4 linked regions of the Drosophila melanogaster genome follow. The protein of the gene in region 2 interacts with the protein of the main gene of each other region in a pairwise test. Each region holds a gene or a part of one and is shown on either strand. Other genes may lie near its edges. The genes, in order: eve, dbo, CG43861 and CG12516.

The links.
Region 1: the proteins of dbo (region 2) and eve interact in a two-hybrid assay, tested with the Drosophila melanogaster proteins (one large-scale study listed by BioGRID).
Region 3: the proteins of dbo (region 2) and CG43861 interact in a two-hybrid assay, tested with the Drosophila melanogaster proteins (one large-scale study listed by BioGRID).
Region 4: the proteins of dbo (region 2) and CG12516 interact in a two-hybrid assay, tested with the Drosophila melanogaster proteins (one large-scale study listed by BioGRID).

The regions. Positions count from the first base shown.
Region 1 is NT_033778.4:9,976,088-9,983,104, reverse strand, and holds eve (even skipped), read right to left. Parts: upstream 3,787-7,017; 5' UTR 3,691-3,786; coding exon 3,552-3,690; exon of another isoform or gene 3,521-3,551; intron 3,481-3,520; coding exon 2,489-3,480; 3' UTR 2,310-2,488; downstream 1-2,309. UniProt on the Drosophila melanogaster protein: May play a role in determining neuronal identity. May be directly involved in specifying identity of individual neurons.
Region 2 is NT_037436.4:15,825,346-15,835,544, reverse strand, and holds dbo (diablo), read right to left. Parts: upstream 8,658-10,199; 5' UTR 8,449-8,657; intron 7,600-8,448; 5' UTR 7,543-7,599; coding exon 7,494-7,542; intron 7,227-7,493; coding exon 6,508-7,226; intron 6,360-6,507; coding exon 5,668-6,359; intron 5,530-5,667; coding exon 5,340-5,529; intron 5,275-5,339; coding exon 5,053-5,274; 3' UTR 4,967-5,052; coding exon of another isoform or gene 4,942-4,966; 3' UTR 3,541-4,941; downstream 1-3,540. Other genes in the region: CG18081 (uncharacterized protein), read left to right, coding at 668-811, 1,094-1,183; CG12713 (uncharacterized protein), read right to left, coding at 1,895-2,135, 2,201-2,689, 2,758-3,017; DCP2 (decapping protein 2), read left to right, coding at 9,966-10,074. UniProt on the Drosophila melanogaster protein: Probable substrate-specific adapter of an E3 ubiquitin-protein ligase complex which mediates the ubiquitination and subsequent proteasomal degradation of target proteins. May have a role in synapse differentiation and growth.
Region 3 is NT_033779.5:20,012,620-20,020,351, forward strand, and holds the start of CG43861 (uncharacterized protein), read right to left. Parts: upstream 4,664-7,732; 5' UTR 4,201-4,663; intron 1-4,200.
Region 4 is NT_033777.3:28,302,040-28,308,166, reverse strand, and holds CG12516 (uncharacterized protein), read left to right. Parts: upstream 1-3,561; 5' UTR 3,562-3,599; coding exon 3,600-4,502; 3' UTR 4,503-4,536; downstream 4,537-6,127.

The sequences.
Region 1 (7,017 bases), on a different chromosome or scaffold from region 2:
TTCAGTGCTGGCATCATCATTTTACAAAGATGTTTATTCATTCGCTGGCTGATTGCAAAACCCCTCATCTATTGGCAGGGTCATAAAGCATTTTCGACTTCGTTTAGCGCTCTCAGCTCTCGGACTGCAATTACCACGTGAATGGAGTATCGCAGTTTGGAGTATTCAGCTCTGGGAATCTCACTGGCTCTCTATGGCTAGGCATGGGATTGGATAACAACCAGATTCCCGGCTCCAGCCTCAGATCTCGCCGTGTCCACCGGCGGGAGATCCACCTCGCCTCGCCCTCTGATGATCACTTTATATTCATTGACAGTTAGTGTGAAATTCGTAGCTCATAAATCGATGGAGAGACCGAATTGCGGTCGTCTTGGCCACAAAAGCTGCCTTTTGTCGGCTCCGCAGCTGGTAAGAGGAGAGTTTGCGCCATAAACGCCCGATTCCGAGGTGCTAATTCACTATTAAAAGAAATCAGAAACAGAAACCGAAACCGAAACAGAAACCCATCCTCGACAATCCCTAGTTCCTCGCTCACCACTCATCACGCCCCAATAAAACTTAATTTTGTTTGCACATCATATGGTAAATGCGTAGAGCCTTGGCTCTTGAATAATGCATTGTTTCGTGGGAGAACTTCGCATGAAGTGGCACCCATTCATGGCTGTGTATCTAAGTATCTGAGTATCTGGGTATCTGGGCATCTGCGCGGTCATGTATCCACTGGATCGCAGCATTGATTGCCCCCATAAACGCTGGAAATATCGAGATTCTCGTTTCTTTGGCGGAGAATATGTCGAATTAGAGGCGAATGCCTAATTGATAATAATATCACACTTACTCCCTCGAAATCAGTTAACTCTTTTATGCCGCCGGACGAGCAGCTGTAGATGTGATATTCGGATTCATCAGTTCCCATCTGCCCTTTGGACAAACTAATCCTCTCGCCTGCCATTCGGGCAGCTAGTCGCATAATTTTGCAATAAACAACTTGATGATTTCTGGATTTCAACAAGCCTAATCCCTAATCCCCATATGATTAATTATCAACCTGCGCCACGTCGCGTCAACCACCCAGCAATCGGATTCCCCCGCCGGCAATCCTGCAGAGATTTCCTGTTTGGCTATTTTTTAATTTACTGTATCCGAATCTGCTGGGGAATTCCCCAGGGCGGAACCGTGGCGCGTATCTTTATTATCAAATCATAAAATGCTGCCACTTGTGTGTTCGCATCCCCCAAGTGAAAACACGAGACGAAACTCCGCAAAACACCAGCAAAGGAAAGGGGTGTGTGCGTGGCACTCCAACTGCAAGGATAACACTTCAAGGACCATTTTTTATGCCCATTTGGCTCGGCTGGCAAGTGTCAAAACATGTTTTGATGCCAGGCGCTCAATTAGATATTAGACACAGCCGGGATCAGGGGTGGCTGGCTGGGTGTATCAGCATCCGTGGCTGGTATCTACATCCTTGTGCCTCGCTCGCATCGTTTACCCATCGTTTATCCTGCCTTTGGGTTGACTCTCGTTTTTTAGCTGTGGGATTATGAGCAATTGACACCCCTTTACACCACGGCTGAGCAATTGAAACACATGTTTTGCACGGTAATTAAATTGGGATTTGATTCGAGAAGGACTCTACCACCAGCCCTCTCTCTCTCTCTCTCTGTCTCTTTCTCGCACTGGCTCGTCCTTCCGATGATTTCTCAATTATGACAATTGCCTGGCGATGGAGAAGAGAAAGCAAACATAAGGCCAGGACCAACAAACAAAAAAGTCACTCAACGGGTGAGGTGACAATTAATTAGCCGAGCCCAATGCAATCCGAGGACACCGAAATTGATTCCATTGGCAATGCAACCTGACGCGTGGCAGGGAGTGGGCCCAACTCCTCGCCAAGGTCGCCGCCCAGCGGGGTGGCTCTGCATTTGCAATGGGCCCTCCCGCTTGGATCCGTTCGGATCGCATTAATAAGCCATTGGCTTGTGCCAATCCCCCGTGGATGTTGTTCCCTTCCCCGCCGGTGCCGCATCGGGAACCCTTACTCCTGATTGTGGGTGGCCACTCCGAAGGACACTCGGCACGCTCTGCGGCTCTGCCGCTCTGCCGCTCTTCCGTTCGATTTGCCACAGTTTCCCTGGGAAGGTCAGCAGTCAGCAGCGCAGCTGTCCCGCCAGGTTTCTCCACAGCTAATCCAGAGAGCCAGGTCCATAAAAGCGATTCAGCTCAGGTATATGAATATATGTTGATATATATGTAGATAATACCAGGTACCAGGTAGTTCAAATAAACAGTGTGTGTCGTATAATTTTCAATGTTATTTTCGCATTTATTTCTTAATTTGATTTTGCGCCTTAATTATGACTACAATTAGCTACTCTACAATCTGTACAATCTTCGGGAATAAATAGATGAGGCTGACTAAGACTAGTTTGTACAATCTTTTGGGGGAGCATGGGGGGGGGGGAGAGAGTGTGTGTGGATCGCGGGCTTACGCCTCAGTCTTGTAGGGCTTGAAGAGCTTCGGCTTGGGCTCCGCAATCACAGTTGTCGTCGGCGGCGGCGACATGTCGGAGGCAGGCCGCTTGGCACTGGGCATCAGGAGGCCTGGAGCGGGCAGCGGGCTGGTGGTGGTCAGTGGAGCGGGAGCAGGAACTGATGGAGCGGATTGAGCCACTGGACTGCGGTCGAACACCTTGGCGTGATCGGATCCCACTGGCGAGAGCGACAGCGTGGAGGAGTGCGGCGATGACGACGACTGCAGATCCAGCGGCGGCGTCTGGGTCTTGGGCACACCCACACCCAGTCCGGTATAGCAGGTGGCGGAGGGCAGAGCGCCCAAAAGGCCGGCGGCACCGGCGGAGTACGACGATCCCGTTGCGCTGGATCCCATCATGTGCGGATGATGCATATGAGGACCAGCGGGATGTGGCGGCGCCGGGCGGGCGGGGATGTGGTAGGGCGTGTAGCGGTACTGTCCGTAGGGCGATGGATGGCCGGCATGTCCCGAGTGTCCGGGCATCTGCATTGTGGGCATCTGGGGCATGCCCATCGGGGGCATTCCGGTGGCCATCATCGGATTGGTGGCCACGGCAGCGGCGGCGGCAGCAGCGGCGGCAGCAGCGGGGGCGTAGGGCGGATAGGGCATGCCCACGCTGTTGGCGGCGGCCTGGAGGATGGAGGCGGCGAAGGCGGGATCGGAGTAGACGGCTGCGTAGGGCCAGGCGACGGCGATCCTCTGACGCTTGTCCTTCATGCGGCGGTTCTGGAACCACACCTTGATCGTGCTCTCCGGGAGGTTCAGCTGGGCGGCCAGTTCGCAGCGACGGGGACGGGACACGTAGTTCTCCTTGTAGAACTCCTTCTCCAAGCGACCCAGCTGGTCACGGGTGAAGGCGGTGCGATAGCGGCGTACCGACGGGTCGGCGGGAATCTCCGAGCCGCGGCTGCCGTTCAAGGAGTTATCCGGACTGGATAGGCATTCTGTTTTGGACAGAGGAAAGATTGGGTGTAAGTAACTCGTCACGTTTGCTCGGCTTTATCTTTAAACTTACCATTTGGCGAGGGAGGCGGTGTCTGGGGCTTGCCGTACTGGGTGGCCAAGAGGTCCACAACCAGGGGCTTCTGGTCCACGGGACTGGCGTCGTGATGGGCATGGTGGCTCTCCATGTTGTAGGTTCGGTATCCGTGCATGTTTGGTATGCGTCTTGTGATTCAAAGTTGGCTTATTCAGAGGATATTAACGAAGGCAGTTAGTTGTTGACTGTGCGGCGGTCACAGCTCGAGTGTGCTGCTCTCAGCCACCCCGCGCCCTTTTATACCGCTGCGCTCTGCAGGCAAATGGCCGCCGTCGCTGGGAGCGGCCAATCGCAGCGACCCAGGCAGGTGCGAGCGGGACAGCCTGAGCGGAACGGTGCTAATCGTGCGGTGCTGAGAGTGGATGCGCTGCTGTGCTCTCGGTGCTGAGCGGCGATAACGAGGCGGGACAAAGCGGAGGAGCAGGACCCGGAGCAGCGGGATGGAGCCGCGTTCTCTGCTCGGCAGGACCATGAGGAGGTCCTGGCCATGCTGGCCATGGCACTCCCGAGCTGGAGAGAGAGAGAGTTCCGATTTGGTATTCATAGCGGATGAGCGAATCTTTTGTCTCGCCCGCCCGCAGGCGGTTGCTCCGCAGGAGCGAGCGGGACGGGCGGGCCCCCTTAATAATGGGATTTTATCGGCTTCATCAAGAATGATATGGCATTATGCCGCTCAGTCGGGTCGGGTGGTGTGTGTTTGCCGGCAGAGAGTGTGTGTATCCCACTATATATTTGTATGTATGTATTATCGATCGCCTGCCAGCGAATTATTTGCGCTTTTATGAAGTCTTAATATTATGCCGCACGTTTAACAGCCCCACACTGCCATGGCTGCCATGACTTTCGGGTTTTGGGGGCTTCATCCACCCCGTTGGAGCGGCGGCAGGGGTGTCCAGCCATAACCATTTGGGAACTGCTGTAGCGAGATAATGGCCGCCCCTGCCCGCAGAACATGGAAAATGGAAAATGGGAACCCAGTTGCCGGGACTTAATTTGAAAAGTTTTCGGTTTCGTTGGGCAAAACATTTATTATGATGATATAATCATTCCCAGCGTACCAACTGTACCAGGACCGGGATAGTGCCTCCTCTTTTGGGCCAGCAAACCGGCCACTTGCCACTTGCGCAAGTTAGCTTGGAGGTTTGGCCAAAAAAATCGTGGGGTCCACCCACAACTACCTGCTGCCCGGCTCAAAACGGGTTAAGCTCGCGGATCAGGGCTAAGTCGGCGCAAAAAAATAACCCAGTTCGCTAGTCCGTTAATTGCGTTGCCTGGACCTGCGCGCCCCTAATCCCTTCGACATCATTATTATGTGTTTTTATGACTTTCTAATGAAAAGGACAAGGGATTGGGATTGGGATTGGGATCGGGCTAGGGATCGGGATTGGATTCCAAGTCAAGCCCTTGGCTAATCCCAGCAAACAAACAAACAAACGCCCGCAGAAGATGGCGATGGCTAGATCGGCGGAATGCCCTGACTTCGCAACCCGGTCTCGTTGTGCGATTATAGTCCAGGGTCCCTCGATTCCGTCTAAATGAAAGTATGGCACAGCGTGTTACCAAACTGCGACGATTGTTCAAGATGCTGCAATAAAGTCTAACTCGAAAGTGAAACGAGGACGAAAGCGAAACGCTGCAACTGCAATTGACTAATAATCTCGCTGATGGCAAACGGATTAACACGGCACACACAGCGAGAAACCAGGCCAGCTTTTCGATCTGTCCCAGTTACGGTTCGGGTTCCATTGTTATGCAGTACCGGGTAACCAGGAAGGATACCTCGCTCCTGCCAGTTACTTCAAATTATTGGGTTATATTGCGCCCGCAATTTGCATTGGCATTAACTCGCCCGGCATAGCCGCATCGCAACAACTCTACCTACTGGCCGACCTGGAAAAGGCCCACATGCAAGCCTTCTTGCCCCGGGAAAGGTTCAATTCTCGAGGTTCGGGGTTCAGGGCTAACAGCTCACAGCTCATAGCTCATAGCTCAAACCCTACCCACAAGCAACAACCTTGCCTATTGTCCACCTCCGCCGGCCTTTGTCTTTGACTCCGTCCGGAGAATGGACGCGAAACGACCGCTTGGGTTAAGTCGTCAAGCGAGGCTCTGCGGCAGCGACAGTAAATACCCTTTATGGCGATCGGGTGGGTTGGATTGGATTGGGATGGGTTGGATTGGCTTGGTTAGGCGAAAGTGTCCGCCGGCGGAAGTACCTTCCTCGTTTCAATACTCAATCCTCTATCTTCCATCTCGATCCGCAAACACTTTCGCATTTTCCCGGGCCGGCAATACCCGGAATATGGGAAGGCGAATCCCTGCCGATTGTTGCCGCTTTATTGCACATTCTGCACTCACAAAGCGCCGATCTCGCTGATTATGCCCGTCATCATGGCAAGTAAATGGCCAACACACTGGCCGGATTGTCCGCGCAATAGAAATGCCGGCAAAGATTCGCAAAACGCTGAGGAAAGGGCGGGAAAAAGGCAAAGGCAGTGCAAAAATTGGCAATAAAACGGCGAAAACGAGGGAATTATGCTTGATGATTGAGTAATTTCTGCCATAAAACAATTACAACAAAAAGGCCAAAATTTATGATGATTGCGCGGATTGGATGAGTTGGAATGGGTTGAGTAAGTGATTCAGCAAGGAGTCCTCGAAGTCCCATTCTTGGGAAGAGTGCCAGTTCAGTTTTTTACACAAAATTGGTCCAATAAATTTATAGATACTTGCAGGTACATTTTATTTGCTAAATTTATTAGTTGACATATGTATACATTTATACTTAAAATTTGTTTGGCAAACCTATTTCAGAAACCCCATGACAGATTCCCAAAAACATCTTATGTATATATTATTTCATTTTGAATAATTGCATAAAAATTCTGTTGACTTGCTTAATTAGTAGACCATTTGTTTCATTTTGGGGCTAATAAAGAGATGTATTTCTTAAAATTAAGCATAAATTGAGACTACACTCGCTTCAATACAAAAAGACTTTGATATTTCTAGTCAATTCGAACGATCTTGTGTTATTTTAAAAAGGCTATAACAAGGTATTTTTTAACTCCGCCTCACTTTACAACGATTTTGCCTTTCCATAGAAACCATCCCATTTGATGAGGAGATATTAGAGCACATCATCCCTCGAGTAAATGTGGTGGTTTCCATCCGCCACTTAAGACAGAACTGTGCACCCCGCACTCAAATGGCCATAAAATGTGAGGGGATGTATGAATGGCAACATAAGTAATTTAATTTTTAAACAATCGACGAATTAGCTGCATTTAGCAGTGGGCAATATAAAAAAAGCAGTGGAGGAATCTTGGGGCTTGCCTCGCGTTTTTAATGCTTACACAAATCCATTTCATTTGGTCTTCAGGAGCAGCGATTTTTATGGCACAACCTATTCACTTTTCTCAAGGGAAGAGCAAGGAAGGCA
Region 2 (10,199 bases):
ATTTTATTACGAAAAATAAAAATGTTGAAATGCTTAAAAATTATACAAATAATTAGAAATAGGAAAATTTATTACGAGTACCGTTAAGTGGTTTAAGTCAGGATAGCTGTTAGTCCAAGACGCGAACCCACATATATTTATGCCCAAACATTTTGGATATAGTTCAGCTCTGGTCCCATTTAATCCTGGCAGCGAAACAAAACCCGACAAATTGATACAAATTTACGGTTAATCGTTAATAATTTCGGGTAAAAAATCAAAACAGTTTGTAACAACGAATTTTACGTAACTGCAAAGGCTGCATCACACCTGCATTTAGTACAGCCAACCAAATTTAATCGGGTTAATTAGGTAAGCAGCGGTGGATTCGCAAAAAGGGCGCAGAACGTGGTCGCAATCCACATTTTCACTTGTGGGCGTGCTTTGTTGTTGTTCGAGTACAGTGTCGTGTCAGATTTTCCAAAACATAAATAATTGGTATCTTAACTATAGTATACTGACCGGAAACTGTGCTTTCCGTTTGGTAATCCCAAGAGTCACCTATTCAGCTGTGTGGGAGAAAGTGAAAGTGACTGCGCTTCCGCCACCTTTGTTGCGAATCCCGTGAAGCACATAGACGGTACTACTACATATGCTAACTCATCCATTTCCACTTAAACAGCAAGAAATGGCACGTGGACACCAGAAGATCCAGTCGCAGGCGAAGGCCTCCGAGAAGCAGGCCAAACTAAAGAAGCAACAAGGACACAGTGCCAACGACCAGAAGAAGGCGGCCCAGAAGGCACTTGTCTATGTGTGCGCCGTTTGCAAGGTAAGCCAGCTACAGTGAAACCTCCCTAAGTCAGCAACTGCAGTGGGTTAATCAAATGGTTTTGAGACAGCTCGAAGAATCACGCAAGAACTCGCTTACTTTAACGTCGAGGTTTTAAAACGCAAATACTAAAGAAAATTTATCGCAAAACATTCGACATCTCAGGAGCTTTAAACTAAAGAATTCGATTCAGATGAATGTTATAGTAATGCCTTATTTTATATTTATTACTCGTACTTTGTGGTTTATTTGAAACCTAATCGAATCTCGTCTCCATTTCAGTCGCAAATGCCCGATCCGAAGACTTACAAGCAGCATTTCGAGAACAAGCATCCCAAGAATGACATGCCCGATGAGCTGAAGGAGGTCTGATGACCGATGTGGCTGCGTGCATATATAAATATATCAAGCTGATCGAAATCGACGAATTTCCTACCAGTACGAAACTTTTGAAACAATAACTTTACAACAGCCCCGACAAAACAAACATCAACATTTAAGTCGATGAGAGGAGGGCGCGTAAAGTTAGAACATAGTTTCCAAAGCTAAGGGCCCAGCTGAATTTTTTATATACACACTGCTGACTTTTGGTTTATACTTTGAAAATAACACATATGGCTACCACAACAATACAAAGAAAATTTACACATAGTAAAATAAATACTTTTGTTTTGATTTTTATTTTCCCTGAAAGGCAACTAGCAATTTGAGTAACAATAATTACTTGTGCTTTGTCTTTGATTTGGTCTATTATGAACAACGATGCTGACAATGTCGTAGTTTTGTATACGATTTTTTTACTAAAAAACCTTTGAATACATCATGTAAATGAGAATTTATAAATACAATAAAAACAGTATAATTGTTAAAACTAAAGAGAAAAGTTATTGCTGCAGAAGCATTGTCTAATCTTATGGTTAGTGTATAAATGCAAAGCATTCCTGTCTTTGATGGTTTCAATGCTACTTAACATTTGGCAACATCCCACTTAAAATTTAGGCTTTCTATGTACATTGTTTTAACAAGCACATTTCGTTCTATAGTTAAAAAGTATACATTAACGATTTCCCTGCACTTTCAGTTTCATGAAAGTTTTTTCAGTTCTTTGGTTGGACATTCAGCTACAATAGGTTGACTCCCGGAACTGCTGTCCTCTTTCGTTGTCGGAGTCTCAGCGGAGTATTCTTCATGCGCGAGTTGCATAAAAACCAAATCTTCTTTTGCCGGAAAATCAGCGAGTACTGTAATGCCAATGTTGTTATCCGGCAGCGCAGGCGTTTCCTCGTGGTACCCAAACCAATAGATTATCATTCCAGGACCAAAACTGACAATATATATATATATATATATGTAATTAGAATAGTTATAGAATGAATTCTTTCATATTACCGATTGCAGTAGCTTTGCAGCTGCTGTTGGATGTTCGACTTGTGTCCCTTGGTGTCCCCAAAATTGGCCTTGCTCTCGATCCAGTTGATCACAGAGCCTTTGTAAAGAAATGGCAGGATCATCTTGATGTCCGGCGTCTTGTCATATCCCATGCGTCGCAAATCTTTCTCGTCGTAGAAATGGATACCCGCCTCCTTAGCCAGATTCTTAAGCTTAAGCTCGTACTCCTCGCCAACTATGCGGCGTCGCAGGTCCGTTATGGATCCCTCTTGATTGTCGCTGACTATGCACTGCTGCACATTGGCCGCCAGCTTGGGATCGTCGATAAGATGCGGATGCCTAAGAAGCTGTGAGATGTGCGATCGATGCCGATCCTTGTACTTCTCCTGCAGCAACATCCTGCAGAGAGCCACCGGGTTCAGTGCTTCGGCACAAGCCATTCGGATCAGTAGGGCATTGTCGTAGTATAGGTTTTTCTGCTCCTCGTAGCTGAATCCAAGCAATTTGGATTATTATTGGTCATGGTGTCAGGAAAGAACACGAGATTGTGGCCTTACGCTTTGAGAAGCCTTTTCCCGCGCTGATCCTGCTTCCAGTGACCACGCGACCGGTTAAAAAGCTCCGACTGCAGGATGCATGTCAATGCCATTGGCTCCACGTCCCTGAAGAAGCGATTCCTCAACTCGAACTCGCAGTCGATGGCCAAGCCGTGGAAGCCGTTGATAAACCGGCAAATCTTATTGTATTCGCCGCCGCTCAGAATCTTTCGCTTCTGTTGCCCATTTCCGCCGGCCAAATCCGGAATTTGGGACATCATTTCCGGCCAGAAATACAAAACTATTTCAGCGAACGTATGAAAGAGCGCCAGAATAAACAGCTGTTTAACGTACGCTAATCGAATACACATTTTAATTTATCGATAGCTGACGTGCCTGAAGTTTCTCCACGTCGCGAAGCGTTCACACTGGTCGGCAGTGTATATCGAAATGTTCCGAATGCATTTAGTTCAATTATTTTCATAAAATTGTTATCATAATATTGACTTCTTGAAAAATGTTTAAAATAACAAAATGTGTGTAGTGCCACCAAATCAGTGTGTGCGAATTAAGGCCTAAAACAAAAACAATCGGGTTCGAGCATCGGCTATCGGTAAAGGATCCAATATCGTAACTATTGTACCGATGCGTACCAGTACCGCGTAACGGTACATTGATTGCATTACAAATTTATAAATTATAGAATATAATACAAAATAGTACACTTGGATATTTATTTTTAATTATTTTTTGGCAGCAATTTCCGCCCTTGGCTGTAATGTATTGAATGAAACAAAGTGTCTTAATTTTGATATATTTTTATTTTTATATATTCTTATACATAGCACGGGTTTACGATCATTTCTTAGGTTAACACTTCTATTATTTGCGTTAAGCACTTTTACCACTCAACACAACTAGGAAATGTTATTTTTTAACTACGCATAATGGGTGGTATGCGAATTTTTGTATAATTGTTGACCATTTTGACTTAAAGCTATAATATAAATAAGCTTGGTTTTTTATAAATGCTATTCTTATTCATCATTTGGAAGCAAAGATCATTCCTTTTTGCTCGATTTAACAACAGTTTATAAATGTGCACCTAAAATAAACTAAATGAGATACGAAAGCGTGTAATAAATAATAATTTTGAATAAATAATTGTTTAATAGTGTTGGTGTAAAAGGCAACAAAGAAAATGTGTTGTTATTGAGAGTCTACTTGTGTTTTAACTCCCTTATCTAAGCGATTAATTCGAGTTGGTTCATTCAGCTCGATGGTCAAACTTGGTTTAACAATAAGTCATCTTAAAACTTGACCTGATTCCGGCCGAAAACTCTTACCGGTTTACACGATCTAGGATTAACAATATTAAAATTTATTACCTTAAAGTTGATCTTACGGCTGCGTAATTGTTAATTGTTACTATTGAATTATCTTGGGCTAGGTCTAACTTCTTCATTGTGTGTGTGTGTGATTACCTTAATGGTTTTTTTTTAAGCTTGACAGGCTGAATATTCATTATTTTTTTAAATTCTTTGCAATTATTCGGTTCACTTCATATAGTCGTGGTATTATTGAAGACGTTTGCAAAGATTTAAAGTGTACTTGACTAAACAACAGCGTTTAGTTGGTCGATCGAAATATTGCACCATTGTGATGTTTAATTTCGGACAAACTTTCTTGAATTCACTCCTTAAATCTAAATTATTTTAATACCAATTTGTTACTTGACTTTAGAGCTCTTCGTTTAAGGATTTACAACTAATCGAATTCGTTTCTAGGTTAATATTTGATTTTGTTTTGTTTTTTTCGAAAGAAGGCATGGTTATGAGCTAGCGATTTCCATGAAATACCACCGGCAACATTTAGATATTAAGTTATTTATAAAATATACTTGCTTAACATACAGTAGAATCATATATAATTACGCACAGGAGTGATGGGGATGTGTTATTGCAGGTGAACGTGGGAACAATGCTAACTCTAATACTATTCCGGAAAAGTCTAACAAACATGCGCTTTAGGCTCTACCAAATAAACAATTAACAATTAATACAAAGCGATTACACTGCTAGTAGACAATGGGGCGAAAAGATGTTTTGTTTAGTCGATTAGATTTGGCTTCGATTGCGGATATTGTTAGTAGAAGTGCGGCGGCGGCAACGTTTGCGAGGGCAACGTTGTCGGCTGCTGTTCCCATCAGACAACAGAATCTTTCCGTATCCTGAATTTGTTAGCATGTTTTCGGGGGGAAAAGAGAGACAAGACAACATTTCATCAGCAATGGAAGGGATGGGAGTTGAGTTAGTTTCAGGAATTCGGTTGCTTAAAACTATTTTCGCACCACATATAGTTCTCAGTCTGAGGGGCACGCATAACGCCCACGCCGCCGCCCAGTCGGCGGTAGTTCATGCAGCCGCACAAACGCCATTGGTTCGTCTCTGGGTCGTAGACCTCGATGGTTTTCAAATAGGCGGAACCATCAAAGCCGCCCACAGCATACAGCTGTCCATTGACGACGGCCAGGCCAACCTAAAATGGTGCGATTTCATTTAATACAATACTATTCGCCGAGAAAAAGTGTAACAAAAACTCACCCCACTGCGGCGGGAGGTCATGGCCACGATGGGGCTCCAGGTATTGGTCAGTGGATTGTAGCGCTCGGCGGACGAGAGCTCCATGCAATCGTCTCGCCCGCCGACGGCGTAAATGTAGTTATTGAACACAGCACAGCCCAGGTGCTTGCGTCGCGTTGACATCGGGCTGACTGCTACCCATTTGTTGTGTCTGTAATGATAAAATCGGGGCAATGTAAATCAAACAAATACTACGTTCAAGTGCAATGTACATTAAGGTCATTTGTTACAAGCGATAGAAAATGTACTTGTACGTCTAAAGCTTTTAAATGCTTTATTTATGATTTACCTGGGATCATATCGCTCTACGGTGTTCAACGGGCACTGTCCATCGGAGCCGCCAATTGCGTAGAGAAATCCTCCAAGCACGGCTACCGCCACTCCCAGTCGCCTTGTTGTCATCGGTGCCACTTTCGACCATTTGTTCTCTTTTGGATCGTAGCGCTCCACGTGGTTCAAACATTGAACGCCATCCTGGCCACCCACCGCGTACAAGAAGCCGTCGAGCACAGCCACGCCGACGCTGGTGCGGCAGGAAGTGGTGGGCGCAACGTCGCAGGACCATTGATTCGTTTGTGGATCATAACGCTCGATGCTATTCAGATAGCTCTGGCCATCGTGACCGCCCACGGCGTAAAGTAGATCATTTAACACGGCCACGCCAACTCCGCAGCGTCGTTTGCTCATGGGAGCGACCATTTTCCAGTCGTTGGTCTGAGGATCGAAACGCTCCACGGAGGCAATAGCATCGCCGGAACACCAACCGCCCACGGCGAACAGGACTTCGCCTCGTCGAGTTGGCTTTCGCGGTCTGGTGCGTGGACCCTGCATCAGCGGTCGCTCCTGCGGAAGCAACAGATAGTTCTTAGCCTCATCCACCAAATCCCGGCAGGCCTCGTCGCTGCGCACCAGGAGATCAGAGCCCACCGTGCCAACCAGGAACTTTGGCGACAGCAGAGGCAGACGGACGTGTTGGAGCACCTGAGAATATTCGAAAATATCAATTCATTATTTATTTATTAGTTGCAATACTTAAAAATTGAGCTGTTTATATTATTCCAAAGTAATTATCAAACGGAACAAGTAGGAATCGGTGAGTAGTAATCAGATATGGTTTACAGTAGCTCACCTGTGCCAGATGTTGTCGCCGCTCGGCGACATTGTACTTGAGCCAGGACATGACCGCGTTGAAGACCTGCTCCTCGGAGCGCACGTTTAGCTCGTCGCTGCAAATGATGTCCACCAGCTGGCCGACGGGGAGCAGCAGAAACTCCTCGCTCTCCATCACCTCCTGGAAGTTGTGCTGCGTGAATTTGTCGGCGATCCGTAGAAGTTCCCGGCAGGAGTGTGTGTCGGCAAAGGCGCGTATGCCCAGGCAGTTGGTGGGATCCAATTGCCGTTTGAGGAACTCGCAGCAGATGTCCTGAATCTCAACCAGTTGAAGCAGGCAGGCGGCGGGAAGGAGGGTCTGGACATTCGACTCCTCGACGATTATGTGGGCGGTGTAACAAAAGTCGATGAGCAGCTCCATGGCATTCTCATCGATGTCGCGTATGGTGACCTCAGTCTGGCGCGATTCCTCCAATTCGCCAGTGAACATGGCACAGAAGTAGGAGCTGCAGGCGGACAGGATTACCCGGTGGGCAAAGATCTTCCGTCCGCCCACGTTGAGCACCACATCGCAGAGCTCCCGATGGCGCCGTAGCATATTTAGTTCAGTGAGCGTGACCTTCGGATGTTTCTCGGACGTGTGAGAGAGGCGGGCGGGCGACGGAGGTCGGTCCACTGCCGTAGATCCAACGGAGGAGCCGCCACCAGCCGTGGAATTACCACCGGTACCGGTGACAGCTGTTGGCATACATAATGATTTTGAGTATAAAAATACCATATGTTTGGAATAGTACAAATAAACTTAATGGTACCGATTAATTGGAATTGTGAATGAGAGTTCAAATACTTTTTTATGAAGGAAAAACCTTTTCTAATAGTATTTTTTAGCTGAAAGATCATAGTCTTACGAACAAATATGAAGTATTTAAAGTCACATGAGGCACACAGGTTGCCCCTGGCTTGCTCTCTTCCCAATTCCAAACCAAGCTCCTATCAAATCCTTACCAGCATCCCGTGGTTGAGCGGTGGAGCCCGAGCCCGGCAGGTCGCCCATTCTGTTCGCTGCTAAGCGCAGCGGGCCGGAAGCAACCCAACCCCACACGGCGTCTATCTGTGGGCAGAAATGGTAGTATATAGTAGAATAGTGATTAATGGTCAAGTCAAAGTAAATTAAATCAATGCGTAGGTAGGGCGTAGAAGGGCGGCATTGAACTCGATTATAAGTAAGTAAGTAACTAATCAATTTACAAGGACATTGTGCTTCGTTTAATATCTTCTTGAAGCGACTGTTTACTTAATAAATTAAGTAATTGTACATTTTTGATGCAAATAATTCATATTCTGGGCACTGGATGTGGAAATTCTGATTTATTTTTCTTGTCCTCCGCCCTTTTGCACCACCCACACACAGACATGCTGTGTAACACGCACACATTCACAACTTCGGATCTGCGGATACTAAGGTGGACCTTTCGACTAAAGAAACATCTTAACACTAATACGAGTGTTATTTAAGGTATTCATTCAACACGTTAAGTTTAACAATCCACCATTCGTATAAATGATATAAAATAAATATTAATAATCCTTAAATATTTAGAAACTTTAAGCTAAAAGATCGTTACTTGAAACTTCTGTTTTGAATCTTAAAATAGCTAAGTTTTAAAATTAAAACATGTACTTTAATTGGTAAACAAATTGGCAGGTTGAGTTAATCGATGGTTAAGATAAACAGTTCTCTAGTTCAATAATATGCTTGTGGAATTATCTTCAACCTAATTTAATTAAAACTGAAATCTCTTTTATTCATGTGATATATGTTCAATCGCTTTTACAACATTCACTCCATGGAACACCTTAAAACTGAAAGGTAACCTGGTCCACCCACAAGCACACACCACACACACACACACGCGGATGATGTTGGTTTAGATTTCGATGTATATGTTGGTGTCCCAACCTTTGCGTCTCTGTTCTCTACGGATACAAAGCACGTCCAGGGCCAGCTGCAGGCGGAAAATTTCGAAAATGCAATCTTGATGGCTTAAAAGGACCACATCGAAGATTTTCCTTGCGCGAATTGCACTTTTCAGTACGGAAAAATCGTTTTTTGGTTGGCCTGGAAAAGTCGAAACACGAAACGATTGGTATGGCGATAGAGATGTGAGAAATGCATAACAATATCAGTGTATCGATATTTTTGAGAATACACTTATTTATATTGTGATACTTTGGTGGACATTTCGTTATATCGATATTGTTATTAAATCGTAAACGTAAGCTAATTTTAAGGAGATCTGTTTGAAATATCTCTTCACATTTTTTTTCGAAATTAAAATAAGAGATCACATATTTTTAAATAATTAAAAATAAAATAAACACTATTTGTATACAACTACAAGTAAGTGCAACGGAAGGGAATCTAACTGTGAATTATTGAAATCATTATAATAATCTCTTAAAATTTTCATTAGTAAACTGTCTTTTAATATTCCCGAAAAAATAAGCAAATAACGTAAGACAGGCTTTGTAAGAGTACATTTATCACAGAGCCAACTGTATTTGGCTTCCCTGGTCGCTAAAGAAACGGTATATTTTGGTATCTTAGTGAGCAGCATGCTGGTATTTTTTATTTCATACTATTTCTATACGCGACGCTGAAGAGGAAGGCGAGTTTTGAGCAGTTGAAAAGCCCGTTAAATAGTGCAAAATAGTAGCTAATTTTAAGTGCAACGTGTAAATAAAGGCAATTTAGATCGCGAAAAAGTTCGGTGAGCAAATAATAATTTGAGATTGGAAAGTGGAAAGTACGTGAACTGGGCGAGAAAAGAAAACGGAAAAACGTGAGACTGTGTGCGTGCGAAGAATTTTCCGTCTCCCTCGCACCAAAGTGGAGCGCACTCAATTATTTTGTGGATGGAGTGGAACACAAACAACAAAAACGACAACGACTATAGCAATAACAAAAACGACGACACAGCAACAAAAACAGCAATAGCAACAACAGAATTAAATGCAAATGCAAAACATGTTGAGGGAAAGAGAGCGAAAATCGAGAGAACAATAGCAAAAGGATGTAATGCAACCGATGGAATAACTAGAGTACAAGTACAAAAATTGCATTGGAAATTTAAATTCGTGCGACAAAAGCGGACGATTGCAGAAATTTTCGAAACTTGGCAGCCATATTTACTACAAAAGCAACGCCGTTGTAAAAATACGTGACAAAACGCTTACACACACATACTCACATTCGTACACCCACACACAGTTGCGCTCTCTCACACACATACACACAGTTGCGCTCTCTCACACATAAACACACAAGCGTATCGAAAGACTGGTGCAGACAGAGAGAGACGCGAATGTGAATTAACAAACAAACAAAAATATTTTGCGAAAAAGACAAACACAAAAAGTAAAGCCAATAAAGTGTATTACATAAACAAACGGAGCTCCGATATCTAAATAAATATTATGGAAATCGCACCACTGATCAATAACGCCGTCGCTGTCGTCACAGCCTCTGCCTCTGCCGCCGTCTCTGCCTCTGCTAGCGTCGGCAGTAGCAGCAAGGATGATAACGGTAGGCGGGTCTCTAGATGATAAGCGGTACACTTCCAGTGGGTTCATAATAAACTATAAAAATAATAAAATATATGTAAATACAAAGCATAAAGTGTAGTACGTGCTCGAAAGAGTCACACTTTC
Region 3 (7,732 bases), on a different chromosome or scaffold from region 2:
TACATGCAAAATAAATCATTTTTCGGCATCCTCAACACTCGTGCAACATTTATGGTTATCTAAGCCAGTTGCAGTCCTGCTATAAAAAAGGAAGAAAACTTCCAAATTATGCACACTATCTGCGAAATCAACAACAGGAGAACCAGGAAGCCATCGAGATATAGGGGAAAAATCGAAATGGAAATTCCTTGGGATTAGCATAAGCGTGTTTGAAATGCTCTTTGTTAGCGCCGAAATGGAAAGAATGAAAATTTATTGTGAAAACAGCATTAAGTTAATGAAGCATAACATGGAATCTTGCAAGAACAAAACTTTTCGTGCTCTTTGTTGGGCATTTTGTTTGAGAGAAAAGGGATAGAATTCAAGCTGAAAAGAAGGTTTTTGGGGGCATTGGCATCCCTTTTATGTTTATGCTGTGTGGCCAAACTGTTGCTTTTAGGCATAACGAATATTTATGGCTTATCAATTTTGCAGGACACGTGCGAGAGGAAAAACAAAAGGGTCAGCGACTGCCAAACTCAAAGAAGCCCTTGGGACAACCAAAAATTCAATTAGCAGGCTGCCTAAGAAGATAGCCGCATTAATTGCTGGTAATAGGCAAAAAATTGCGCATACGCAGCATGGGCCCTGAAAGCGAGCATTTTGCATATCCACAGTTCAATGCTTTTGCCAGCAACATTTTAATTAAATTTCAACTCTGACTTTGTGTTTAGCATATTTTGGGTGCCACAACAACCCCGCCATTTCTCCCGCTACCTTCCGTTTGTCAACGGTTGTCCGGTTGCCAGGGAAAAACGCCATCCAAAGGACGAGAGGGGTGGGTGGGCGTGTAGTCAAAGGTATTACCTCCTGGCGTGTCAGAACAGCTTGTTTGTCCTGCTAATTAAAGTTGCGTAAAAGCAATGCCATTGTTGCTGCTCCCTGCAAATACCTTGTGCAAATCAAAGTGACGACCTCGGGCAGATCCAAAGGAGTGACTAGCATTGTTTAGCCACCTGTTCTTTTGGCCTGGCTAAATGGAGGGACTCTTGCCTGCGAACAGCACAACACTTTAATAATACTAATTGGTCGAGCTTCTTGGGAAAGTTTATTCTAATAGATTTGTAAGAGTTAATTACAAAGTGCTCTTGTGAGTGGAGAGCTGATTTAATAGAGGATTTCAATTGTAGCTCTTGAGTTGTGAGGTAGATTAACTGATTGCTTACCTTCTAATGGCTCGTTTGGTGCACTTAGAAAATAAATCTATATATTGCTGAAAATTATAAAATTAAATGATAACTTGAATTATTGCTTTACATGCTATTTTTGAATGCATATCTTCGATTCCTCGAATATTGTTTTCCAGTGTAACATTTCATTTAGAATGACTTCCTAGATTTCCTTACTGACAATCTGACGGATAATTCGTTGACATATTTGCACATTCATAATATTTGCATTGTGTTTGATATTTAAGGACAGATATTTTAATTAGAAAGGGATCAAATTTCGAAGTCGAAGGACGCTGCACTTGAGTGACATTGATACACAATTTTCCAAAATGCTAACCAGACATGTGCACACATTTAAAGCTGCTGTCTCCTCGATCTTGACAGTGCGATTTTCTTTATTGACTGGCACAATTTCCCCAGTTCATAATCAATTATGTCCCATGGCCTCAATAAATGGAAATATTCCCAGAAGAGCTTCGACTGCCAGGTAGCGTGTCAATTAAATGGTCATAAACAAGAGTGACGCCGTTCGACAGACAAAAATTTAAATAAAAATTGGAAAATGAAAAGTCAACACGCTCGACTCAACAGCGGAAACGAAAGCGAGCCCATGTCTCACTATCGATGAGCATCGATGTCTGCGTATACGTAATTTTTCAGTTGACATTCGTTTCCTGACTTTTTCTCAACTATTTATAGCCGAAGTCTGCTTTGTTGGGTAACTTCACTTGTGGTGGCTGCCGGTCTTCTTTATTGTCACCCAGCCATTTGCAGCCATTATTTAAATGGCCCAAATGAAAGAGGAGCAGCTGCGTCTGCGAAAGCCTCCGTTTTGGGCGACGGGCTGTGGATGATATCCCATTTCGAGGAACTCCCGAAAAGGTCGGGACCATATCGTTAGACTCAACTTTAAGTCCCAGCTGCCTAAGGATACTCAAAAATGGCATCCAATTGGCTTTAGATTGGGATTATGAATATAATAGCAAACGATTTGCCTGATGGCTTATAGATGGCAAAACTTTATTCCAAACAGTGATTGCAGTCTAAAGATATTATTAACTATTTTGTAGTTGTTTGTAGAGCAACAAAAAAATTCGGATGTATTTTAATGCAATATGGCTAGCTTTTTACGAATAAAAGAAATAATTTACATGAAATTGTAAAGCAGGTTTATAAATACTAGCACGCACCAATTAATAATAAATGTTTTTTATATGTTTCCTTTGTCTCATCCAATCGTGCACAGAAAATAAATCAGGAAACTTTGGTGACGAACGCCAGTATTCGCAAACTATCCAACATATATTGCACTAAAATGCATGTTTTTCTTGTTTTATCTTATATACATTTTGACTGTATGAGGCCAAACTCAGATTAGGATTTAAAGTACACCTACCTCCTCCCTGGAGGACTTAAGATCGGATGAGTAAATGGATTTGGATTACAAACGCTTCACATCTTGTCTCTGTGTATTCTGATATCCGCTTTCATCCGGACCGAGTGTGGCCCACTTCAAGCGAGTGGCATGCAAATAGGATCGGACCCAGAACGCCCTATTCTTGGCCTGCTCTTTTGGGTCTGGGCCCAGTTCCTTATCTGCCGCGCCCATCTGGGCCTGCCACTCGACGCCGACGTTGTCTAGAGTTGGATTCCCGGAGCGGGGTGCTCGGATGCAGTAGGAATAGGAGTAGGACTGGGCGTCTGGGTAGGAATGGTGCAGGATGAAGCCGGCTGCATGTCTGCAGCGTTTGGCTTAACAAGTGATAAACTTGTCGCTTGTCCGCTCCAAGTCCTTGGACATTTTATTATTCCCGCCTCTGCAGCGAGTGCCCTGTGGAAGCCATTACCCCATTCTCCATTCTCCATTCTCCAGTCACCAGCCCCCAGTCGCCAGCCTCCATTTCGATTCCCCAAGACCCCAACTTGCAACAAGACGCTGCAAATAGTTAAGTACAAATTGCATGGCTAATTTGAGCTGTTGCATAAGGCTTAAGAGCTCTCACGCACACAGACCCCACTTCACATCGTGTTGACAAGTTGACCGTAGAATTAGACGGAGAAGGTGTGAAGTGACAGAAGATTTGGCATGAGTAATGACCGTTGCGAGCTGTGCCCATGAAGTAGGCAGGTTTATTAGCAACTGTCGGAAAATAATTTCCACAAGCACTGAAAATTTGCGGGTTGCTTCCATATAATTCAGAACAGTACCGAGAGTCAAGGAACTCAAGTCCGCCCAGAGTTAACGGCTTAAACAAGACTACAATGTGTACTACCTGGAATTGGTAAATGGCTTCACATGGCCAAATGTACACTTACAAATATAACGTAATTCTACCCTTTTATCCATGCAAACTCAAATTAGCTCACAATATAAACTTTCTATCCCAAAAACTTTTTCGCGACAAAAATTGTCAGAGAGCAGTAGAAAATGAAACAAATAAAACGGAAAACTAAGTAGCTACATTTTGGTTCATACTAACGGAAATTCTGTTTAGAATGTAATCCCGAAAAATGTGTTCACAAAGTGAAGGGAAAAGTTGGTGTGGAGTTATATAGTTATATAGATATAGTTTTGGATTAGTATAAACTTGCAGATGGTCAGAAATGTATCTGATTAAAATCAAAACACAATTTAAAGTACCTGTTAAGCAAGGTAAAGCGAAAAAGTAGCTTGAATATTTATTTTGATTTCTTATATCTACTCCAATTTTAAAACCACATATGTATCTATTAGCGTATCTATTATTTCCAGCTCCTTGAGCGCGCTAATGCGATAAGTATACACGGCAACCACTGGGCCACAATTAACGCAGTTCGAAATAGTTTCACAAATAAAGACAACTAGCACTGATTCCCACACTTAAGTTTCCGTTGTACCCATAACCCAATTCGAGACTTAAGCCCCACTAATTATGATTTATTCCACATGTGGCCAACACCCCCGACCTCAGACCCAAAAAAAAAGCCCATTGAGGCAATTGAAACTCACCAAATGCAAGTGTTTGTTTAGACTTATTTACAGCAGCATTTGTATGCAGCTCGGGAGCGACTTTAACTTCATTTTAATGGTTATATTCACCGACATCGGCCGCTCGTTCGGACTCGGATTGTTGATGTTGTTTTACCTGTTACCGTTCTACAAACGATACGAGCACACAAACACAATCACTGCACTTTGGGGAAGATTTTCCAGAAATATTTTTACAAAACTCCGCGGTACTTTGGCCAAACAATTGGGCTTAAACCAACACAAGCAAATGGGGTTTGTTGCGGCAGGCGAATTTCGACAAAATAATGCTTTACACCTTTACACAACGGACTAATTTAGCATTTGCCTAATGGGGCGCAATGAGGCTTTGTTTTCGATTGGTTTTTTCTCTTTTTTTTTTCAGTGGGCCTGGCCAAAAAATGAATTCAAAAATCGAGCGGGTCGGCAGCCGAACGCGTTGAAACTCGTTTTTAGACTGAGTGGTGAGCTTTATGTTCGCAGTTAGTTACCCGCGCGAAAGCATCGCGAGTTCGATTCGAACATGTTGCCTTGCCTCCGTTCAGTTTTTCTCCTTCCTAACCAGGTGAAAATATAATTTTTAACACAGGCGTATGAGTGATATTCAAATTCGATGTAAAATACTGAACTGTGTAAAGAAATCCTTATTTAAATATCTCATTAATAAGAAATATTTAATGGATATATTTCATTTAAAATTATTTAGCATTGTTCTTAATTCTCACGTCTTTTAGTTTCCAAGACATCCTGTTCTAAGACTCTCTGTCGAAAGATTTACACGGAACTAAATTTCCCTCTGTTATTAGTTTGCTATTTACATACCTAACAAAAACTTTCACATTTTTTAAATCGACAAAATTCATCATCACATGATATTATTAATACTTGATTTGATTTATAAATAATCAAAACATGGTCAATTCTAACCTCTATCATATTTGCATATCAGCTGTTCTAGAAGAGCTCACAACCTAACTATTCACAATTCCGAATCTGGTCACGAAAATGACCGCAGAGGCAGAAGCAAGGGTTCGAGAAGTAGGATTGTTGTTTATCTAATAAAAATAAGTTTAGCCAGAACTCAAAAGTAAAACTCTAAATCTCAATTTTAAGGGAATTGTTATTTTATACTTTAAGAAGAATTTAAGCCCAAGATTGTTGGACTCAAACACCAGCTTGTTCGAATCGAACTTCAACATGCCAGCCCAGAATCGAACATGCTGGCAGGTTGCAATCAAACTATCTATCTATCTAACATATATCTATCGGTTGATCTATCTATCTATCTATCTTTATATCTATCTGTATATCTATCTATCTGTCTATCTATCTATCTATTTATATATCTATCTATCTATATATATCTATCTATTTACCTATCTATCTATCCATCTATCTATCTATCTATCTACCTATCTATCTACCTATCTATCTATCTATCTATCTATCTTACCATCTATCTATCTATCTATCTACCTATCTATCTAACCATCTATATATCTATCTATATATCTATCTATCTATATTATATATTCATCATCCACTCGGCGAATAAAACAAACGACACTGAGCTGCAGTCACAAATGAACTTCGTTCTTCTACCGGCAAGATGCCGTAGAATATGGCCAGAAAATAAAACGGAGCGCGTCCAGTTGGACAAGCACTCACCTTGTTAAAACCGAATCCAAAACCCAGCTGCCTTTACCTGCCAGCCGTGCCGTTTTAAAGTCGCATGATTAAGCAATAAATTCACACCAGGGCAAGAAAACGCAAGGCTTCTAGTTGCAGTCGCAATACCGAAAGAAAAACTGTGCAACTAACTATTTGGCAACATTTTAGGTAAACAAGTAGAAGTGCATTTTCAGCCACAGTTTACTCAAAACTTGAGGACACTTACCAAATTATATTTCATTTGTATAGCATCGAGAAATTTTATATATAAAATTTTTACATCGATTGTATGCAGTTTTCAGGTGTATCTACTACTCCAACTTTGGCGAAGATTTCCTCAGGCTAACGGTGTTTTGTTATTTATAGTAAATGTTACCTTTTGCTCCACTGCTTTCGGCCAGGTTTTCTATTTGTATTTACAATTGATTTGCATTTGTGTAACACTGTTTCCTCCATCGAGGAGCGGAAGCCAGCATCGAAAGAGCGACGGAGAAAGGTGTAAATATTGTGATTATGGTTGAGATTGAGATGTAGGTAAATAATATGGCCATCGGTGTGGGTTCAACAGGTGCCTCAGGACAGGCGATAGTAGTAGTAATAGTAGTAGTAGTAGTTGCAAGATGCAAAAAGAAACATAATCCACTTGAGCGGAGGAGGACTTTGATGCAATCGGTGTTAGAAAAGAACTGCAAGCCAGGAAGTGGGGATAATAACAGGTATATCGTCTTGTGAGGTGACGAAACCCAATCTTGTAGCCAATGAACCCAAGTTTCTATTGAGTTTTCCTGTCTAACCTCATATTAAGTCACAATGTTAGTAGAAAAGTAAATAGATTAGAAGTATCTTCCTTATGGATAAGACTATCTTCCATTCAGCTTAAAACAGGCTTTGCACACTCGGAACGCTCCATTTGAGAACGCTGCTTTAGCCATCTGTACTCGTCGCAATATTTACATTCTAAATGACTTCATTGGCAAGTCAAACAGATTAAATCTCTATTAGTTTTTAAGTGAGCCCCGCCAACGGCGCTCGGCTGGCGTCAATGGACCCCGTCAAGCCGAAGAAGTCGAGAAACCGATCCCGAACCCAGGTCCAAACCCGACCCTGACCCCAAGGCGAGTTTTGGGCACGCCAGTAATGACGACGACGCATTGTTTCCACCGCCGATCTTGGCCATGTCGCTGAGTCCACTTAATTTCCTTTCGGTCTTCTGGCCCTGTGCTGATGATGACTTAATCGGTGATCGGAGTTTTGGCTTCGGTGGGCGTTATAATGATTTATTATGCCGATTGACCACGCACTGTAACAACAATCTTACTAAGACCGACCGAAGTGAAAACCAGAATCGCCAACTCAAGTGGGATTCATTGGGATTGATATACTCTTGTGAAGTGAGCGTACATGAAAGTGGTTTGATAATAGCTCTTGAGCTATTTATGGATTTTATAGCTGTGAATGTGGTTGGTCTGTGTGGATGTGGATATATCATACAAACCATTTGTAGACCCAACCATTCATTTAAAATCGTTGCCAGCTAAGAATTTGTTTAGCAACAAGTTGTCTTCTTAAACGAACATAAACATCCAAGGATTCCCTGGGCAGAATCCAAAAGGTCTGCCATCGGGAACGAGCCGTGAAAACCAGTTGACTGAGATGCAGATTCCCGCTGTCCCACTGCTTTACATTTCTCACTCAAGCCTGTGGTTGGGTGGGTGGCAGGATGGGTGGCCGGATGGGTGGCTGGCTGGGTGGCTAGATGGGGGTGGGAGGATGAGGTGGAACTGTCAGGTGTCCTTGGCTGCGTACCGGCAGCCGGATGATATATCACAAACGCAGACGGGCG
Region 4 (6,127 bases), on a different chromosome or scaffold from region 2:
CACTCACTCAGCCCGTCACCCACTCATCCACCCATCCCGCCATCCACCAATCCACCCATCCATTCACTCACCCACTCAGTTGGCCACGCGTCAAGTTGCGTAGTTGCGACGGAAAGTGTTGAGCAAGTTGTCAAATGGTCTGTGATGGCTGATGGAGCAGTGGAGGATCTGGCTGACTAATAATTGCGGAAGGGTGGAGCACTCTGTGGCAAAAGGTCGCTCTGAATACTAGCCGTATGTACTACTCTTCAACTTTATGTAGAATTTACAAGAATGAATATCTTAGTAAAGGTTTAAAATGAGTATTTGTTTTAAAAACGAGACAAATTGGCAACTCGTTCGAGGCGTGGTTTAATTTATTATAAGTCGACATGGATTTGAAACGGATTTAAGAGCACTCAATTACCATTGCCAACGCATCTGCAAACATTGATAAGCCGCTTAACTGGCCATACTTTTCTCACAATTTATGGCTCGGATGCGCGTGCACACATAAAAGTGCGGTTCGCTTATAATGAATGCTTAATAAGCATTTGTCGAATACATAAGCAATGTCCATTAAAATTGATTTCATTTGCTATGCAATTTACAATTCATCTTCTGCTATAAAACGCAGCCAGGCAGCAGAATTTCGCGGCACTTATCCGCACCATCCAAACCAACCAAAGCATTCGAAATCATTCGAAAGCAACCCGTTCAAAACTCAACCCACAAGTGCGGACTTCGCATAAACTATTCATTTCAGTTCGATAACAAAGCCAGTGCCAAAGCCCCAAGCAGCCCATATGTGTTCATTCCATTGAGTTATTCGCCGCATTAACGAAATCAACATTTAAATTGCAAATTGTGTGCATTTTGATTGAAAAATGCCGCGTTGACGACCCCGCCTCGGATCACAGATAGACCAAAGGAGGTGGAGATTCGGTTCGGTTTGGTTTTGTTTCACTGTACTCGCTGGCAGCTGCTGTCTTCACACATCCACAACCACCCGCATGCAATTTGCTGCTCTTTTGTGCAATAAAAATAACACACAACCAACGAACATTTCATGCGCATTAATGTGCGACATTTGAGAAATGGGCTCTGGACTCTCAAACTCTTCCTTTCATCTGAGTGGAGCATACACGTATTATTTTGTTTCATTACAGGGTATTTGTTAAGTACTTGGATGTATTCCCTTTGATGGAAGATAAGTAACAGTCGAAGGGTAGCAAATAGATCATACGATTTATTTATACTATCATTGTACTATAGAGTATTAAAAATATTTTAATGTATAGTTTATATGTATTATCAATACCATCGTAAGGAATCTGGCTAAAATGCTAGGTATTTTTTATTCGTATCGCAGTCTACCTTTAATATTTTTGCATACCGGAAAAGTGCAATAAAAATGCAAAAGCGAATGCGAATTGATTGAACAGAATCGGACAGGACATATACTTACATTCAGTCACGCACCATGGTTAATGGAGAGGGGTATGTTCGGGGAGGGGAAGGCCCAAGCAAAAGGGGGAAAACGAGAAAATTATTCATTAACACATGCGTAAAATGCGAAAGGAGCATTGCCATAAATAAATAATTGATAAATTGCAGATGAATTTTCATATTTAATGATGTTTAAGTGAGTGGGGCCTGCAAATGCCAGTTTTGTTCGCATCTGGGTGTGCAATAATATTATGTTAAAATATACGATTACAATTCGGAGTTCGGTTTCCTTTACTTCACGTTTTTACGACTCCAGTTGCCTGCGATGTCGCACAAGAGTGCGGCGTATGAAAATTGATTGTTGCTTTATTTATGGCCTCGCACTCGCAGAGTAGACATAAAAAATTAAGACGAACATAAAATGCAATCATGCAGCTCGGTCTGGATAAAAATCTAGCTGCCTTCGCTACATCCCAAATACGTTTAGTCCATTCGTCTGATTTGGTTTTACGTGCGTCGGGAGACTTTGCACGTTCTCCTCAGGGTTGTCATAAAGCGAAACTAAGAAAAAAAAATTAAAAATATGTAACATTAAACTAGCTCAAGTTCAATAATCATACTCTTAAAACTATGCTTAATTTTGAATAAAACATGAAAGTATTATATTCATTTTCAATGCGAAACTTGACAACCCTGAGTCCGGCCTGAAAGGGCGACATTGAGGTCGCTACATGCCTCTTTGGGTCGTGTAATAAAAGGCATAAAACTTTGCCTCTAACGAGCATCGTTTTTACGATCCTACTGTTTGACATCGAACCGAAAAAAATGTGTACTGATATGCAGGAATTGGAAGGAGCTCCCTTTGGAATCCTTGCAGCCTGACAAATGTTAAGCAAAATGAACCCTTAATGATTTGTAATGTGTGCTGGTTTTAAAGTGCCTAAAGAGCAACACATAAAAGGGGTTAACTTGATGGGAGCTTCACTAAATTTAAACCAGATAATTGATCATTGCAACCTAATTAATGCCATCAAACATGATTACATAAATGTCGACAATAATTTATGGACATCAATGAATTCAGCGAACGGAAATGCAAAGAGAGCAAGTTGGTGGAATATTTAATGCTGTTAATAAAGAAATATGGCTATAACCTATGCTAACTTTTATGTTCGCTTAAACTATTTAAACACAATTTTTTCCATTCTACATATTTGTATTGCTCAGCAAAGTGTTCATGCCGCACTGCCAAAGTGTAGACGGTTTATTAGGTTTTGAATTTAGTCAGACACAAAGCAGCTCCATTGTTCCACTCGACTGAGATAATCTTCATCCAACTGCAGGCACTTCAGCCTCGAATGCCCAGCAAAATATGTAATTAAACTTAATGAGTGTAAAATGCTCATGTCCTGGCTCAGACTCGTTCTCGTGCTCAGTTTCAGGAGCTGGCTGCGATTTTGGCAACAGCATCGAATCAAATGCTGTCAAGCAAATCAAGTCATTCATTTGTCAATTAGTTGACAATGGGTCAACTTGAGCTTAACTGCTTCTGCAGGCCAAAACCAAAAAGCAGTTCCGACAAATGCTAGAGCGTAATTGCATTTAAGATTTGCTGAAGTCCAGTCAAGAATTAACTTGGCCTTAGGTCTGCTCCGAGTGGAGTCACATTTTGTAATTTGGTATCGCTGATGAAATGCATTTCATTAATATTTATTTGCCCCAGGCATGTCAAGCAAGACAGCTTGGCTTTGGTTTTCTTCGCTGCCACAGGCCAGTTATTGTGGAAAAATAGCAAAATCATATTCCGCAAAATCCCGAGTCTCAGTCCAAATTTTGTGAAATATGCTGTTCATTTTCGGCTCTGATAGATTAATTTTAATGGAGCCCCGTTGAAATGATTATTTATGTTTATTGTTCTAGGACGTACGCGCTTTAACAAATTTTAATCACTTTTCGTTTTTAAATTTATTTCCCCCCATAAACTCTTTTAATTTTCAAGTAGTATTCAACATAATTTGTGGCGGTCTTAAACCATAATATATTATTTTAATGGTGCGTCAGAATCAGGAGGTTCTTCAGTGTGCTTTTGTTTTTATTTCACAACCGAATTCAAATTTATACTTTCAACCTTCGAAATTATCAATATAGCTATTTAAATTATAGCTGGCATAATGATCAGCCCGGTAATAACTCGACAAATGGTGCAAATCCTGCCAAGTGTTATGGTCGGTAGGATAACACTTCCCGATATTATTGAGGATGCAATCAAGCCCCCAACGGAAGATATTAATTTCGAAGAAAAATCGAATGAGAATGAGGTGGAAGATAATACAGAGAAATCGGAAGCGGTTTCTGAATCCGAAAAAGAGGTAATTGAGGTATCTGAGGAGCCGAAGGAAGAAGAGGTAAAGTACGCTTGGAATGCACCCTGCATGATGGTCATCTTCGAGGATGGCGATGTCAATTGTGCCCTGCATCACCTGGTCGAATCTCTACAGGATCCCTTTGCCTTAGATGCGGTTGCCGTGATCTTGGTACAAGAAGCTTTAGCCGAAGAAATCGAAAACCGAGTAAAAATTCTGATGAAACCCTTGGATGCCAGGGTGGCCAATCATCCGTGCTACAAGCGCACTCTGATGAAGATTGACGAACTTAGGCCGAAAACTATAATAGGTCCTTCAGATCGTGTCTTACCCGATGCCACGCCCATAATGGTGCGGGACATACCACACAAATTTCTGGGCGATGGACCCACTGGCATTATAACCATGCATATTTTTCGCACCCCTTTCGAAGCCACTCAGATATATAGAAAGGAATATCCCCTACCAATCGCATCGGTTAGTATATGGAATGAGCGGGTTTCGAGTGTTTACGATGTAATTGGCATGATGAATCTACTCGATACCTTTAAGATCAACTGTTTCACGGTCGATATGGAGCCCATTAAGCGGGCATTCGAGCTAAGGAAGTATAGTGCTTGTATACATCGTGGTTATCACTATGAAACCCTGCCCATAAATGGCGAGAGAAAGATTATCATATATCCAGTTGGAACTATATTTGGCAATTGAAGTGTAAGCTGGGTAAATACAATACCATTATTCGAATCTTATCGCCACTTATTTAATTTTACTCAAAAATGAATGGTATCCTTACCAATTAGGGAATCATTCAATCCTTACCTTTAGGTGTTGTGTCAGTATCTAATGCATGCAATCTAATTCAATGGGCTGGGGATTTCAACAGCTATTTACACACAGAAAGCCTGTTGAGAACATTCAACTCGCACTTTTCGTTCGCTAATCTAAATTAATGCCTCTCACTGCGAATCGGAATAGGCTGTGCAGCGATGTTTTATCATTCAATTAAAAAAAGGGAGGAAAGCAGCTAAAAACGCGTGCATGGCAAATGCGCGAAATAAACCAGAGGATTTTCGCACATTCCCCTCTACGTAAAAATAGTGGGCGGAAGAGTGGAAGCAATTTGCACCACCCAACGGACGGAATAATGAAGTGTTTAGTTGATTATCTAAACGCACGGCGCCGTATCCGGATCCGGGAGCACTGGGCCTAGTAGTGCTGGAATTGCTTGGGGTTTTCGGGTAGCGGTTGAGTCAATAATGCGCCAAATAAACAGCTAACAAGTTGGTAATAAAAGAACTCTAAAATTGCCCGAGGTCCGACCGATTTGGTAGAATGCCAGGCCCCACCCATCGAGCATTTATTCACCCACACGCAACTGCAGGTAGTGGCAGGTAACACCGGCCTGAAAAGTTCCAAACAAAAGCACAGCCGTCGGCCATGGCGAATATAGCCATATATAGAGGCGTTGAGTGCCGCGGGGGCGTGGCACGCATTGTCTGCAGGTAAGCCTTTTTGCGGTGGTGCCCACCGCTGAGCAACAACGCCACGCATTTGCATTGATAACCGAAAATGTTGGGACTTGAAACGAGTTTAGTTTGGCCTGCTTTCGTGTACAACTACTATATTTCACCGGTAAATCAAACAGACAATGGGCTTGAAGCCCCGTAGATTGTTGGAGAACAGCTGCGGTCAAAATGATGTAAACTGGAGCACATGAAAGTGTGGGCATTCTTAAACATTGTGTATACGCCATGTTATCGAAAAACACAAAAACTTATTTTTCGTTGCATACTTTTAGGCATATAATGCATTATGTACACGTCAGGTAAAAAGAAGTCGTACACCCCAACAGCCTAGCAAGGAAGCTAGGAACTGCAGCTGTGGTCAATGCTGACCCTCGGACTAGAGTCAAAAGAAGACTCAAGCGACACCACCCTCATGACCTCCCTAACCTGGTTTTGACCTAGAAAGTCTTAGTTTTAAAATTCATTAGAATAATCAAATAAATAATAATTACTATGTTATATCAACTATTATAATTCTCCCTATCTTTTTTAGGATTAAAAATCTGTTAGTCTTAAGTAACCAAGACACATTGTAAAATAAAATAATTTAAGCAGATCAAATTAAGTTGCCGCATGGGTAACAGTGCGTTGATCAAATAATAAAAACATCATCGTAAAAAAAAAAAAAAAAAAAAAAAAAAAAAAGGTAAAAAGAAGTCATTTTGTTGTTATTGTTTCCAGTGCATACTTTTAGATCGATTTGGAAATTATGTGTACGCCCTGTTAACCTAAGCAATTAACACTAAATTCATAGTTTTACGCAGTTTA